Linked DNA regions of Macaca fascicularis. Each later gene encodes a partner of the first gene's protein in a complex. Links are inferred from orthologs where the notes say so. Each region holds a gene or a part of one and is shown in the gene's direction. Other genes may lie near its edges. The genes, in order: CACNB3, CACNA1C and CACNG1.

Region 1 (5,821 bases):
TCGAGACTATCCTGGCTAACATGGTGAAACCCCGTCTCTACTAAAAATACAAAAAACTAGCCGGGCGTGGTGGCGGGCGCCTGTAGTCTCAGATACTTGGGAGGCTGAGGCGGGAGAATGGCGTGAACCCGGGAGGCGGAGCTTGCAGTGAGCCGAGATCACGCCACTGCACTCCAGCCTGGGAGACACAGCGAGACTCCGTCTCAAAAAAAAAAAAAAAAAAAAAAACTGCTGGAGAGGAGTCTTTAAGTCTTCCCAGAAGGCCTAGCTTCTGCCTCAGTTTCCCCATTCAGTGCCCAGGGACAGGGATCTGCCCAGCTTCCTGGTGCACTTACAGGAGAAGCTAGAATATATTCTGAAACCTCCCAAGAACTCCAGCTCCCAAACCTGATTATTCAGGGTTTTTCTCTTATGTCTTGCTTCCATGACTTGGGTACCTGCCAGCTGCCAGTCTAACAACTCTCTCCTAGAAAGAATCAGCAGGAGGAGCCTCTCCCCTGATCCTTTATTGCCCTCAGCTCTCTCCCTTTATGCCCAGCCATGAAAAAGAAAAGAGGTTAGGGCTACATGGATACTGACAGGCACATGTCGTGTCACAGGACAAGAAGTCACCAAGTTGGCATTACAACTGGAGTAGGCAGGTGTGGGTGAGATGAGAAAGGAAAGGGGCATTGGGTAGCAACCCAGAGATATGAGGAGAAGGAGGGAAGTTCTGAAGCTCCTGCAGGACCCAGGGGAAGGGCCAGGTATGAGGAACTTGAATCCATCTCCTGGGGATGGTTGGCATGGCAACACATGCCTCAGGAGCAGACTTAGACAACCTTGTCGCAGATTACAAGGAGTGTGAGGAAGGAGTGCTGCCCATGGCAGATCCGCTGTTACCTACAGCCCCAGGACCTTCTGTGGGTGGGAGAGTCCCAAAAGGAGAGGCCAAGAGAGTGGATGCAGGGATGGGAAGAGAAGCAGCTGCCTCCACCACTGCTTTCTTCATTAGAACCATCTCCCAGGAGAAAAGCACCTTGAGGGTCTTACTCTCCGACACCTCTCTCGGCCCCTGAAAGACAGAAGGAATTGAAAAGGATGAAAGAGGGGGATACAAGGAATACTGAGTAACTGGGTGAGGGCACAAAAGTGGGCAGTGTCGGAACTTCCAATACGAATCCAGTATATGACCAAACCCCAATTGGTGCTGGACTCAGGAGAGGCAACTGTGAAAGCTGACTGCCTCCCCCAATAGCGACGTCCCTTCAGCCACAGGGGCTGTAACAAAGTTGTTTGTCAAACCCAGCATGAGGAAGGTGCTGGGCAGGGCTGCTCTGGGCCACCCACAGTAGACAGACTAAAGATGTCAGTCTGAAGATGAAGCCTCTTCTTTTTCTTGCTAAGATAACACCGATAAGTGACCCAGGTGGGAAGCCACTTGGTTTGGGTGGGCTTTCTCTCTCCCATGCACAGTGCCTTCTACCACAGATCTTATTAAGCTATGTCAGAGTTTTGGATGTCTGATTCTCCTCAAGCCTAGGAGGGATGAGCAGATTGCTGAACTCCCGGGTGTGAGAAATTGGGAAAGGAAAAGGACTGAGCTCAGGGCCAAGGGCATGGGCACCAGGAGGCCTCCAAGTGTACCCCTGTCTATGGACGTCCTCCTTGTGGGGCACAAAGGTAGGCAGTCAAAAATCAAAGAAGGAATTTTGCTCAGGAGATGAAAAAAGGAGAGAGCTCAAATGGGTGGATCTTTGGGGAAAGTTTCCTCAATATAAGGGCTGCGGCTCTCTTACCTCAAATCTCAGTGTTCCTGTGAAGGAGACTGAGTGGTGCAGAGTGGTACAAGCCCTTCTGCTGAGGGGAGAATCTGGCCTTACCCTAGTGACTCTGAGGAGACTGGCCCTTTCCTCTCCTAACCCCAGTGTAGCCAGGATCCCACCCACAACTATCCCCTACCACCACCCTCTGGTTTCTCTCCCCTCCCTTTAGGCTCACCTAAAATAGCCCCTTTCTGACCCAGTTCCCACGGATGCCTTGGCACTGTCTGGCACGATCCTTGGCAGGGAAGTGGGGAACGGAACCCCCATCCTGGCCGGACTAAGACGAAATCTATCTGTGCAACAGGTGTGGGGAGGCCTATCCAGCTCACGGAAAGTTCCTCCCTTCTCAAGGGCTAGGCAACACCGCCTTTGCCGCAGCGTTCCCGTACTGAGGGGGCCGGGCACCTGTTGGGGCAGGAGTTGCCGTCCTGGCATTAGCCTGGGGGCACTAAGCCCATTCCTCCCCGGGACTACTGCGGGGTCTGCTTCGGAGCCTCCGGGACGCACGGGCCCAGACCCGCACTGCTGTCGCCTGGGACCCCTCCCCCGTCTGCCGCTTGTTCCCGCGCCTCTTCTGTCTCCCAGGGTCTCCCCATTTTCCTGTCCTCTCCGTCCTCCCTCTGCCTCTCTCTCTCCGGCTTCCTCGACACCTGCGCCCTCTCCAGTCTCCGCCCGGGTCGCGTCTTCCTCGCGGTCTCAGCGCCCCCTCCCTCCCCCGCCGCAGCCCTTTGTTTCCCGGCGGAGTAGTTCCTGGGTTGCCGAGCGTCTCTGTCTCCGCATCTCTCCTCGCCCCGCCTCCTCCCTGCCTGGATCCGCCCCGCCCGCAGCCTCTCCTCCCCTTCCTCCCAGCCGCCAAGGCCCCGTAGGTGCTCCGGGACCCACCTTCCACCCAGCACGGGTCCGTTCCCCTCTCCGGGCCTGGCCCGGGCTCCCCGGTGGCCGCCGCCCCCTCGCCGCCCCCGCCTTCTCCCAGGGAGGGGGTCAGGTGGGCGGGCACTATTGTTGTAGGAGCGGGCGCCAGATTCCTCAGCCGCGCTCGGGGTGGGACCGGCTGGGTTTGGGGGGGTGGGGTGGGGGGAGCGGTGATTTGAGCTCCGAGCAGCTGGTCTTCGCGGCTCGCTCCCTCCTTCGCGCTCTCTCGCTCCCCGCCGCCGCCCGCAGGGCTGCGGGGCTCCGTGGCATCTCCCGGGCGCGGCCCGCAGTCCTCGCCCCTGCCTCCGGGCCGCTCCCGCCCCCGGCGCCGCTCGCTTCCCCCACCCGGACTCCCCCATGTATGACGACTCCTACGTGCCCGGGTTTGAGGACTCGGAGGCGGTGAGTGCCCACGGTGAGGGTGGGGGCGGGGAAGTTGGGGTGACACCTCCTCTCCCTTCAACCCTTCCCCCAGTTCAGGACTTTGAAAAACGCCTCAGTGGCAGGGCAGTGTGTGTAGGGGGGCGCTCTAAAAACGTGGGGAGATGGATTTTCATGCCAAGCGCTCCCCAGCGACCCAGACTCAGACCCTGGGGCATCGGGTGTGTGCAGAGAGGGGGCAGTATAGGGGAAGGGCTCAAGCAGGTGGCTCCACGGCCCAGGAAAGAGGGGTGGGAGGAGGCAGGGCTGGAGGCCGAGGGCACAGAGGCTCTGGAGAGGGAACACGCCATGTCTGGAGTTCCAAATTCTGGATTTCTGGGGTCTGAACACAACAGCTAGGAGAGCCGCCGAGGTAGTTGGGGAGGCAGACATTCCGGACCTCTTGTGCCTCAAGCAAACAACACATTAGGGAGCTGAGAGGACACCAGGGAGCCAGGGACCAGCCTCTTTAGACAGAGGGATCCTAAAACTTGAGGAGCTCCATTATTCCCTTCTACCCCCTCCATCTCTGCGCACTGCCTCATCTCCTCACCCTTTCTCTAGCCCAGTTTCCCTCTCAGGCTGAAACCTGGGCACCCAGCACATGGGTAGGCCAGGTGACTGAGCCCCATCCATTCCACAGCCCCCTGCTGAGGCTTCCTCTGAGCAGCGGGCATCCTGAGCTCTTGCCCAGCATGGAGGGCCTGGAGGTGAGGCCAGAGGAGCTGAGGGCCTGGGGATGGAGAGGATGCGCTTTGCTCAGAGAAACAGGCAACCAATAAATATTTAATTCTCCTCTTTGCTTTTATCTCCTGACCCACTGAGACAAATCAGCTCATTAAGCAGTGATTCCCGGAGCTCAGACAGCAGGGAGAGTGCCTGGAAAGATGGGGCAAGAATGCGGAGCAGCTTCTCAGACCCTTGGAGCTGCCAACTTTCCCTCAAATGTCCTGTAAGAAGGCCTCCTTAGGAGTGGACCAATAGATGGCTTGGAAGGGGTCCCGATAGGATGGAGCACCCCTGGGTCGGAAAGAGGAGTATGTTCCAGTCTTCTCCCATCACTTGCTGCCAGGCCCAGGATAGATGAGTGCTGATGCTCAGAATAGGCAACTGTCCTTTTCTGGGACTGGGCTCCTTCTGGGCCCAATTTTCCATGGGGCCTCTGGGGTAATTACATTGCTGCTAGAGCAGATCATTTTCAAGGCTCTGGTGGACACCTCTTTCTGACAGTTGAAGGGACAGCTGGTATAGCCCAGGGTGCCAAGGTGAGCTTGAGAACAAACCTCTCTGTGGGGCTGGAGGGCCCTAGGAGGTTCTTCCCATCCCTGGTGAGAAGGCAAGGGCTATTGCAAGGAACAGACTGACATGTGGATGGTGTTGGAGGACAGCCTGCTGACCCATTGCTCCCTCCCATCGCTCTCTGGCTCCTGATCACCCTCCCCCACCTCCCTTTCTCTTGCCTGGCTCCTTGCTCTCCCTGAGGCCCCCTCTGAAGCAGTAGGAGGGAGATCAGGCTCTAAATAAATCCAACGGCTCATCTCCCTCCTCTCCTTCCCCCGTGCCAGGCAAGAGAGGAGCTGCAGCCTGCCCACACACTCACTAGGCAAGGGGGGCACCACCAGGGCACTGTGCCAACTCCTGGCAGCTCCAAAGTACTGACACTCTGGCTCTTTTGGCATAGCAGGGTACAGGAAAGGTAAGACCCTAGATCATGCCTGGCAGGGCAGCCCTGGCCTCCCGAAGTAATACCGGAGCACGAGAGATAAGTTAGCCTGGAGGACTTGGAAGTAATGGAGAGGGGCTTCCATTCTGAGCACAACTCATTAATTATTTAGGGAGAGACGGCCGGGCGCGGTGGCTCAAGCCTGTAATCCCAGCACTTTGGGAGGCCGAGGCGGGCGGATCACAAGGTCAGGAGATCGAGACCACAGTGAAACCCCGTCTCTACTAAAAATACAAAAAATTAGCCGGGCGCGGTGGCGGGCGCCTGTAGTCCCAGCTACTCAGGAGGCTGAGGCAGGAGAATGGCGGGAACCCGGGAGGCGGAGCTTGCAGTGAGCCGAGATCGCGCCACTGCACTCCAGCCTGGGCAACAGCGTGAGACTCCGTCTCAAAAAAAAAAAAAAAAAATTATTTAGGGAGAGATCCTGTGATTCCCATCCCAGGGTGAGAGGTCAGGTAACCCCAGATGCCCCAGGCGTTATTACTACTAAATTAGGCCGCAAGGTGGCTCAGGCCTGTAATCCCAGCGCTTTGGGTGGCCAAGCCGGGCGGATCACTTGAGGTCAGGAGTTGGAAACCAGCCTGGCCAATATGGTGAAAGCCCGTGTCTCCTAAAAATACAGAAATTAGCCTAGCATGGTGGCGCATGCCTGTAGTCCCAACCACTCAGGAGGCTGGGGCAGGAGAAATGCTTGAATCCTGGAGGCAGAGGTTGCAGTGAGCCAACATCACGCCATTACACTCCAGCCTGGGCATCACAGTAAGACTCCGTCTCAAAAAAAAAAATTACTAAATTAAACCAGGCACAGAGACTCATGCCTATAATCTCAGTGCTTTGCGAGGCTAAGGTAGGAAGATGGCTTAAGCCCAGGAGTTTGAGACCAGCCTAGGCAAAATAGCAAGATCCTGTCTCTACAAAAAACTAGTAGGCATGGTAGTGCACGCCTGTAGTCCTAGCTACT
Region 2 (5,821 bases), about 53 Mb from region 1:
AAAAAAAGCATCGAAATTTAAGTCCACAGAGAAACCTGTGGTGGTTTTGTGCAAAGATACGTACCCACACATATCCAATAAACTGTGTTCTCCTTAAAAATATAGCACCTCAACACAACAGGCATTTGGTAAAATCTTCTTAAGCAAATGAATACAGATTGAAAATGAAATCACAATTTCTAAACTTCCTGGCTTCGAGATATCATTGTTTCCACACTCCATTTGCACATTCACAAACACATTTCGTCTTTATTTTTAAATATTCAGAAACCTGATACTCAGATTATGCCTGGAAGCCTCCCTCCCCTTCTCCGTCTCACAGGAACATGTTAACTGAAAAACTGGCTTTGTAAGCTGTTAGTTAGGGAGAGGCCACTGGAAAAAATAAAACTTAATAATAAATCTCTGGCTTCAAAATGGTACAGAAAATTTACACCTGCTGAAAGATTAGATATGACTATGATTTCATCACTTAGTAATGAAAGGAACTGTGACATAATATACCTGCTATTGATTCATTTAATAACGTTCAAATAAGTTGTACACCTTAGTACGTGCCTATCTATATCATTTTTATAGTAAAGGCTGAAACAGCTCCAAAAGACGTTTATAACTAACTAGTTGAGGATCTGATGGCATTAATCATCTAAGTAATACATTAACTACATACACATTTTAAAAATCTTCAGTGAAAATAGCAACAATATTATGATAGGGCAATGAAAACCAACAAAACATGTTTTTAAAAGGGAAAAAAGACTTCAAATTCAAACTTTCCAAACACGTAATTATATTAATAGTATTTTGCTGTTAAAACAGCTGTGATATTCTAACTACATCTTTTTTCTCCTCTTACCTGACCAATGTGTGGGCATGGAATTTCTGCTTCTCGTCAGTAATGATTCAGATATCAAAAGGTACAAGAAAGGTCTGTATAGTGCTATTTTAAGCAGGTATCTTAAAGAGGAACCTATGAATCTGAATTACTAACTTGCCAAAAGGTGGCAATAGGGCTTTAAACTTTGTTTTGCAATTATCGGTGTACCAGAAATCTTTTATCTTATCTTACCTACCTGCATGTGAAGTAGGGGGGAAGTAGGGGAAAAGATTCCAGCTTTTCCTTGAAGAGGACCATTTTACTCTCTTAGGTGAAAATACATACACATTTTCCTCCTTGGTACACTGACTTTTTTTTTTTTTTTTAAAGAACATCTGAGTTCTGAAGCCCATGTGCTATGAGAGGTTTTACATCAAAACAAAATTCTTTTATCTCAAGATCACTGAATGTGTATCTTGAAACTTCATATTCAAGGTTGCTTCCAGTCCATCAACAGTAATTCCCTACTCTGATTCCCTACACAGATTCCCACACTAACCTGCCTACCCTCACGTTCTTGAAGTCAAAGCAGACTGGAACACTGATGTTCAACCACTTAATAAATCTGAATATGTTTGTGTGTCTTGGTGACTTTAACCTTAGTCACAAAACTAGAAGCCTGGTCTATTTTTTTGGTTACAGTGTAAGTTTTCTTTCCTTGAAGACTGACTTTTCCAAAACTATCAAAGGAGAAAGGTGGCAGTAAGGGAGAAAAATAGAGCATAACTCAGAAACACGAGGCCCAACGGCAGAGGAAAAGCCGGCCATTGTTGTCTCATGAGTAGGCTCTAGTAATAGGAATATTTTGGGTATCTTTTGTTTGATGTTATACATTTGTGGCATCTGACATAAGGAATTAGGCTTTTGTAAGGGTGGTATGCCAAGAAAACTGTTGATACAAACAGAAAAACAGTCTGACATTGTCATTACCACGAGATAACTGAAATGCAGACTTAGGGAGGGAAAATGCCATGGAACATCTTTCAGATGTCAAAGCAAAATGAAGGAAAGACTGAGCTTGCAGTAATTATTGAAGACACTGTGAAGACCTTCTTTAGGACCCAATCATTTATCTCCAAAGCAACATGGCTTTAAAAATTAAAATGAGATCATTTTGAGATAACTCTTTTGATCCCAGTTTAGTCTGGACAGAAAATTTAAATAGCCAAGGAGGAAAAAGAAACATTAACCAAGAGTTCTGGCTACCAAAAAGTGGCACCAAGATAAAATGCAGAACTGGGCCTAACTTTCTTCTCCCTAAAATAGTTTTGCAACTTGAGCTGCATTCCCCTGGGAAAGAGGCTGTGAATTCCATTAAAGTTCGCATTCCAACTGAAGTTTCCTGCCTCTTAGCCCTAAGGTCTACCAACCCCTGGACAAACCTATCACTCTTCCACACAAGAGGGTCTATCAAAGCAGTCTGTGGAGATATATAAAAGCCAGAGATCATCATGCCTTAGGGAGGTGATGAGCTGACAGGCTGACAGAAACCATGAAGTTCACATTTCAATCCAAGTTTTCCCGTAAAGCCACTGGGTGAGAGGCCCATCCCTACATAGGCTGGGAGCAGAGCAGGGAAGACAGAAAATACAAGGTTGAAAAGAATCAAGCAAGAAGGTGTTTTGTTTTGTTTTGTTTAGAATTCTAAAATTTAAAAGTAATTTTACTGTAACCTAAACTTGCAGCGATATGATATGGCCATGTAAACTTTTGTGGCACTGAAATGTTACTGCAGGAATGGCTTCTGGGTTTTAAAAAATTACAAGAGATCATGAGCAGGGTAATTATTTAGCTTTAAAAATCAACCAATTAATTACAACTGGAAATTCACAATGCTTCGAGCCTTTGTTCAGCCTGGTACGCCTGCATACCAGCCGCTTCCCAGCCACCTGTCTGCCGACACGGAGGTCAAGTTTAAGGGTACTTTGGTGCACGAAGCTCAACTCAACTATTTCTACATCTCTCCTGGAGGTAAGAAACCCTAAAGCGAAATAAAGAGTAGGAAGAACATGTGGAAATTTACTCTAAATATTCTAATGATACTTAGAATGTGACTGCCTCACTCTAAGAACTCATCTCTCCATATTTAATCAGGATTTACCACACACCGTTGTGAAATTTTGCCTATAACTGCACCATCCTGGTTTATGCCGTTCTTTGGAAATTCTCAATTGAAAAAAAGTGATGTTTGAGGCAACAGGAAATGCAATACTGCCTTTACATAATAAAACACCAATCTTTTACTTTCCTTTTAACTCTGTCAGAAAGATCAAGGAGATCAAAATTTCCGTATTAGACTTCATGTCTGGATTTTGTAGGTCCACAAAGACAAGGCAGAGAGCAAGCTGATTATATTCAATAGTGGTGTTTTCTTTTTTAAATTTCTTCAGTGGAAAAATAAAAAGCTGGTCAAATTTTAAGAGGCTAGTTAAGAGGCCATTAAAGGTGGTATCAATGTCACTCAAATGCACATTTTCATTTGTAACCCTTTGATTCTTATTAGCATGGTGCATTAGTTCATTTTACATGTTCTTTGGGGATTTGCCTCATCTTGTTTATGTTCCTAATACTTCTGTTCGATCTGTTCTTTTAAGATATTTATAATTTGTTTTATATTTTACCCGGATACCATACAACTCCAAATCATGAATGATAGCTTATAATTGTCTAATGAGGACATGTGATAATGTTTGTGTAAATTTTTAAAAGAAGATATATATCCATTCAATTAGGAAGTGGATGATAAACACATAATTACACGGGTAAAATTTAAATAGGCAGGACATCTGATTTGGTAATGTTCTTTCTAATATAATTTCACTAATTCCTCTCAAAAGGATAGGGAAATATGTTTTTCTTAGTATCCAGCAAGGAAAGCATTTAAGTTCCTTCTTTTTACTTGGAAAGCCATGGAAACAAGGGAGTGTTAAATTACACAAACCTCTTCTGGGCATCTAAGGATAAACCAAAAATTTAAAAATTCCTTCAAACTCCATTCCTTTCATGAAGTCTTTCTCAAAAGAGTAGAATAGTATTTTCAATGTAAGGATGGAGAACATCTAATCATATATTTGTGTAAACACTTGTTTCTGAGATTTCATTCAAATATAGTATTTCTTGATTTACTGTACCATTTATCTAGATCAAGCTTTAATAAATTTGGCCATCCTGATGATGACTACTTACTAGCATATGGTAGTACACATGCACACACAGTTACTAGGCATTTGAAAGACCTCAAGATATTTTTAAAAAAAACAGAAAAATAGAACCATGAAATTTTAGAGCCAGAAGTCAGGTAAGAAGCATGCAGTTCAATAACCTATTTCCCTAATGAGGAATCTGTGGTCTAACAAGGCTAAACAAGCTAGCCAAAGTCATTTTTCTTGGTTTAATCTGTTTCCCCTAAAATATGCCCTTCTCCTAGCCTTTCAAATGAAATAGATGAAGCATTCAAATTTGTTTTTACATATTGGATTGAGTTCTAGGCTTGGTTATAAAAGACTGGAATTAGTCTTTTTAAACCAAAGTTCATGTGGACTCTCTAAAGGAAAAAAAGAAGGATGGAATGAAGGGGGGGCGGAGATCAGTGAGGAAGGGAGGGACGGAGGGGGAGAAAAAGAGAGAAAAGAAAGAAGAAGGGAATTAAGCTTTCTGGTAGTGGCAATGTTTTCACAGCAGTAAACACTCGAGCAGCAGTGACGCTGCCTGCGTGCTGGCATCCATAGATGGGAAACACAGGCTGTGTTTGGCCGGCTCTATGCGGATTCTGTACTTCTTCCCCATTTGGAATGTTTGCACTCAAAATGCTTTCCTCCAGCATGTTCTCTAATGCCTTTAAAGTAATGTTCTTCCATTCACCTTCCGCCTTAGCTTTACTGACCAAACACGGACACAATCTTGTAAAATAAAATCTTCACTGGCCACTGAGAGTCTACGTAGCACTGTTATCTTTGGCCCTTGGTCTGCTTCTCTTCATATGACATGGTTTTACTGCACCTCACAAATCAGTGATCCCATGACCTGGGAAGAATGAAAGGTTCAAAGCAGATGAGAAGCAGTTTCTATTTTACGGGTGACTAATACTCATGAACATTTTGGGGGAAACAGTAGTAACAACCTTCCCCTTTCTAAATAAATTAACGTTATTAGAAAGTTAATGCCATTAAAAACAAACAAAACTATCTTAATTAAAGCTTTATACTAATTTGGATTAAATTAATATGTACTCTCCAACTATAAATGAGAATTTATTACTTTCCCAGTAAAAGATGGATTTAATCTTTTAGAAAGTTTTAATTCATAATGGATTCATGTTATATCATTCAATCTTCCTAATCTTCACAGAGGTCATTATCTTCCTAAACTGGGAAACTTGAGGTCATCTACTACCCTCAGGTTTACCAGAGGTCATATGGGATCTTTTTCATCATATACTAATTTCCTAGTTTTATTTGTTCCTTTAATCTAAGAGATATAACAGAGTAAATAAACTTTTAAAAGTTAGGAAGCTGAAAAGTCCACAGTTGGTAACAAATATAAATAGAAACAACTTATTCTGCTTTATTGGCCACTTAAATTTATATTTTCATTTGTTCATAATCTTGCTGATAAATTTCAAAATCTCCTTGGCCACAAATATCATGCAGGGAGTCCCTAATACATCTTTTCCTTCTCTCTACTCATCCTTGAAGACTCAGGCTTTCTCACTCCTCTAGGGATAAACAGTCCCAACTTTTTCTTTGCTCCTGTAGTTTTTTTTGTACATCCTTGTACTAAAAAAGGTAATAAATTAAGCATTTATAAATCTGTTCCCTCCACTAGACTATAAGCTACTGGAGGGGAGGACTTTGTTAATACACCCAGTACAGCAACCAGCATGTGCAGACATTCAACAAATACGTGCCAAGTTGAACTGAAGTCTAAGACTTCAAGCTCTTCTAC
Region 3 (4,734 bases), on another chromosome or scaffold:
CACACATGTACAATAACACACAAAATGACACACATGACATACTGACACAATTACACACACAGTTACACACACAAGACACAGGCACACACAGAAACACACATTGAGACACATATACAATGACACACACAATTACACACAATGACACACAAAATGACACAATGACACACATGACACCACACAATGACACACACACCACACAATGACACACAATGACACACACAAGACACAGTGACACACACAAGACAATGACACACACAATGACACACAAGACACATAGACACACAGAGACACACACACATGTACAATGACACCCACACAATGAGACCCACACAAGACACACAGAAACACATACTGACACAATGACACAAGATACAGAGACACACACTGACATACGTACCATGACATACACACAATGACACACACAAGACACACAGAGACACACTGACACACATGTACAATGACATGCACACGACATGCAGTGACACACAATGACACACACAAGACACAGTGACACACACAAGACTGACACAATGACACACAAGACAGACACACAGAGACACACACACGTACAATGACACCCACACAATGACACCCACACAAGACACACAGAAACACATACTGACACAATGACACAACACAATGACACAAGACACACACAGAGACACACACTGACACATGTACCATGACATACACACAATGACACACACACAAGACACAGAGACACACTGACACACATGTACATTGACATGCACATGACATGCAGTGACACACAATGACACACGAGACACAATGACACAAGACACAGTGACACACAGGCAATGACACAGACACTAACATGCACAGATACATGTACACACCAGCACATGCAGACACACATACACACAGTGACACACCAACACACTGACAGACCCAGATACACATGCACACACTACCATACGCAGACACTAACACATTCTGACAGATCCTCACATATGTGACACATACATGAACACACACACTAACCACACACAGACGCGCACACTGCTACACACACTGGCAGAGCCTCACGTGCACCGGGCTGCGTGACAAGCCACCCTGTGGTCCTTTGCTCCTTAACCCCAGGCAGACCACCTGCCACCCCAGTGCCTCCTGCCCTGTCACTCGAGGAAAGTTTCTGCTCTGGAAAGGCCTCCAGCCACTTGCCTCTCGCCTCTGCCCCCGGTGGGGACCTTGCAGCCTGATGCTCTGGGAAGACATGGGTAGAAGAAGCCCCATGGCAGCCTGGCTCTGCGTGGGCCTTAGGGAAGGACTTGGCCCCTGGGGCTGTCGGCTTTCTCGTGTGTGAGATGGGAATTGTGGTGCATGGGGTGGTCCCTAACCAGCCACCATGAGAGCTCCTGGACTGAGGCCGCATGCCGGGTGTCCCTTGTGTTTGCAGAGTACAGCATCTCGGCAGCCGCCATCGCCATCTTCAGCCTTGGCTTCGTCATCCTGGGCAGCCTCTGTGTCCTCCTGTCCTTCGGGAAGAAGAGGGACTACCTGCTGCGGCCCGCGTCCATGTTCTACGCTTTTGCAGGTAGACTGGGGGCTCCGCCCGAGCACCGGACTGGGGGGACCATGTCGTGGGGGATTCTCCGCTCCACTCTCATGCCCACTGTGGGATTTGGGTGGGGGGCATTTCCCAGGCTCCATCCCCATCCAGGGGCAAACCTGGCCAAGCCCTCAGCGACCCCAGGTGGGCTGGAGGGAGACAGAGCTTGGCGGTCTGTCCATTCCTCCCCATGATTCAACCCTCAAGGCCCCAAAGAAACTGCCCAGAGAATGATTAACAGAAGAAGGAAAGAAACGTGGTCGCCTTTCTTTCTTTTTCTTGGGGGATGAGGAAGAGGGTCTCGCTCTGTCGCCCAGGCTGGAGTGCAGTGGAACGATCACAGCTCACTGCAGCCTCGAACTCCTGAGTTGAAGGGTTCCTCCCGCCTCAGCCTCCTGAGTACCTGGGACTACAGACGTGCACCACCACACCTGGCTAAGTTTTTATTACATTTTAATTTTTTGTAGAGACAGAGGGCTCATCACTATGTTGCCCAGGCTAGTCTCAAACTCCTGGCCTCAAGCGATCCTCCTGCCTCAGCCTCCCAAAGTGCTGGGATTACAGGCATGAGCCACCGTACCCGGCCATGTGGTCGTCCTTCTAAGGGATGCAGGAATAGGGTGGTGCGTGGACAAATGGATCCTTCTGCAGGCTCCCAGCTAGAACCTGCCTTGAGGCAGCTTTTCCCCCAAGGCAAGGTCACTGCCTCCTCCATGCACACAGGCTGGGGTGGGGCTGGGGGTAACGGCAGGCACCCGTCGGTCCCTGAGCGTACCTGGCTCCGCCCCCAGGTCTCTGCATCCTGGTCTCGGTAGAGGTCATGCGGCAGTCGGTGAAGCGCATGATTGACAGTGAGGACACCGTCTGGATCGAGTACTATTACTCCTGGTCCTTCGCCTGCGCCTGTGCTGCCTTCGTCCTCCTCTTCCTCAGTGGTCTCGCCCTCCTGCTGTTCTCCCTGCCTCGAATGCCCCGGAACCCATGGGAGTCCTGCATGGATGCTGAGCCTGAGCACTAGCCCTCCTGTGGCCCTAGCGACCCTCAGGCTTCTTCTCCAGGAAGCCATGTCTCAGCCCGGAACCTTCCAGAGGGGAGGCGGGAGCAATTTTAGCTCCACCCTGCTCCCATCTGCCCCCTGCCACAGTCGCAGGCTGCTTCCTCTCTCTGAGCTCCTCTGGGCTGCCGCAGGCTCCCCTGGGAATAGAGCAAGAGGATGTCAGTCTCAATCTGGCCACAGTTGGGAAAGGCAGGGCCAGCAGGTGGACAGGTGTTTGCAAGGGCCCCACTTCCCCTGGAGCTCAGAGGTGTCCCCACTGTACCAGCCTCTGATAAGCTGCCTCCGGTTGTCCTTTATGAACATTGCAGGGACAACCTGTGTTTGCCAGTTCTTGGTGTTCTGTGTAAATAGCCAGCCCCTCCCTTTCTCAGTGATAAAACACACCCTCTCTGGTGAGCGCAGCGTCCCCTCCTTGGCTTCCAGGAGCCCTGGGAAGCATTTTTAACTGAGTAGAATCTGTCTGTGGCTTGAAATAAAAAGCTCTCAGAAAACTCACGTTTTCTTCACACCTTGCATAGAAATTGCTCAGATTCCTGGTCACATCAGGGGCCCCCTGACGCGGAATGAGAAGGGAAGGCAGGTCACCCGGGTACGTTGAGGACTTTTGTGGGGACAAGAGGGCAACACACGTGGCTTAGAGGCTCTGAATTCCAACTCAGACAGGGTTTCTCTAGGCCCTGAGATTGTTTTCGGGAGAAACTAGAAACCTTCTGATGAAGCAAGGGTGTTAAAAATAGGAGGGGTTATTTCTAGAGCCTGGCATGCAACGCACCTGGTGCCAACGCAGCGCTAAAGCAGCCAGCCAGTGTCTGATTTCTGATGCTGGATTTCTGTTGTGAAGAACATCAGGAAGCAGGGCTTAGCAGTTAGATGCTTAGGGCCACATGAAAAGCCATGATTTGCACACTTCTGCCTTCCAGAGCCCCACAGTACTTGCCCAAGCTTCCGAAGTGGAGTTCAGACATGATTGGCAGATGGGATCTTTGCCTTGCACCCTGGAGAACCCACTGGAGTTCATGCTCCTAGGGCAAGGTTTGGCAAACTGTGGCCTGTTGGCCACACCTGGCCTGCCCCCTCTTGCTGTATGGCCCACAAGTAAAAGGTAGTTTTTACAGTTTTAAATTGTTCAAAACATTAAATTAAAAAAAAAAAAAAAGCCAGGCTCAGTGGCTCACACCTGTAAATCCCAACACTTTGGGAGGCCAAGGTGGGTGGATCACGAGGTCAGGAGTTCAAGACCAGCCTGGCCAAGATGATGAAACCCCATCTCTATTAAAAACACAAAAAATTAGCCAGGCGTGGTGGTGTGCACCTGTAATCCCAGCTACTCAGCAGGCTGAGGCAGGAGAATCGCTTGAACCCGGGGGGGCGGAGGTTGCAGTGAGCCAAGATTACGCCATTGCACTCCAGCCTGGGCAACAGAGTGAGACTCCATCTCAAAACATTAAAAAAAAAAAACCCAAAACAATCAAGGAACTGGGCATCGTGGCTCACACCTATAATCTCAGTACTTTGGAAGGCTGAGGCAAGAGGACTGTTTGAGTCCAGGAGTTTGAGACCACACTGGGCAACATAGCAAGACTCCATCTCTACAAAAAATAAAAATAAAATAATTTAAAGATAAAAAGAAGAAGAATCTCTCATGACATATGAAGATGATACGAAATTCACATCTCAATGTCTGTAAATAAAGTTAGATTAGAACCCAGCCACACCCATTCTGTGGCTGCTTTCGTCACCATTGAGTAGTTTCAACAGAGATCTTCTGTCCTGCAATGCTGAAAATATTTACTATCTGACCCTGTATAAAAACGTGTGTTTACCCTTGTTCTGGAGAAAAACTGTACAAACATCAGCCCACATATCAACCCCTTACTAGTCCCATCTGAAAGCTGAGGGGAAGTTCATTCTTTCAATTTGCCTGCGGTACCTCGGGGGTGGGGGGCTGGGCTAGGAGGGGTGTCAGAGGAGACTCACTCAAAGATGCAAAGATCCAGCCAGGAAATAAACTTGCTCCAGGTAAAGGAGAATCAGAAGATGACAGTCCCGGCCAGCCAGGGAGCTGAGGCCACAATTTATGAGTAAGAAGGAAGAGAGATAACTTCCT

What was found.
Region 2: CACNB3 (region 1) and CACNA1C share a complex: the UniProt entries of both Homo sapiens proteins name them as parts of the calcium channel complex. The link is inferred for Macaca fascicularis from reciprocal best matches to the Homo sapiens genes CACNB3 and CACNA1C.
Region 3: CACNB3 (region 1) and CACNG1 share a complex: the UniProt entries of both Homo sapiens proteins name them as parts of the calcium channel complex. The link is inferred for Macaca fascicularis from reciprocal best matches to the Homo sapiens genes CACNB3 and CACNG1.

What each region holds. Positions count from the first base shown.
Region 1 is NC_088385.1:55,626,598-55,632,418, forward strand, and holds the start of CACNB3 (voltage-dependent L-type calcium channel subunit beta-3), read left to right. Parts: upstream 1-2,667; 5' UTR 2,668-3,074; coding exon of another isoform or gene 3,075-3,119; intron 3,120-3,780; 5' UTR 3,781-3,847; exon of another isoform or gene 3,848-3,971; 5' UTR 3,972-4,035; coding exon 4,036-4,089; intron 4,090-5,821. UniProt on the Homo sapiens protein: Regulatory subunit of the voltage-gated calcium channel that gives rise to L-type calcium currents. Increases CACNA1B peak calcium current and shifts the voltage dependencies of channel activation and inactivation.
Region 2 is NC_088385.1:2,817,011-2,822,831, forward strand, and holds the start of CACNA1C (voltage-dependent L-type calcium channel subunit alpha-1C), read left to right. Parts: upstream 1-2,424; 5' UTR 2,425-2,709; coding exon 2,710-2,848; intron 2,849-4,738; exon of another isoform or gene 4,739-4,900; intron 4,901-5,821. UniProt on the Homo sapiens protein: Pore-forming, alpha-1C subunit of the voltage-gated calcium channel that gives rise to L-type calcium currents. Mediates influx of calcium ions into the cytoplasm, and thereby triggers calcium release from the sarcoplasm.
Region 3 is NC_088390.1:73,486,756-73,491,489, forward strand, and holds the end of CACNG1 (voltage-dependent calcium channel gamma-1 subunit), read left to right. Parts: intron 1-1,417; coding exon 1,418-1,555; intron 1,556-2,361; coding exon 2,362-2,588; 3' UTR 2,589-3,118; downstream 3,119-4,734. UniProt on the Homo sapiens protein: Regulatory subunit of the voltage-gated calcium channel that gives rise to L-type calcium currents in skeletal muscle. Regulates channel inactivation kinetics.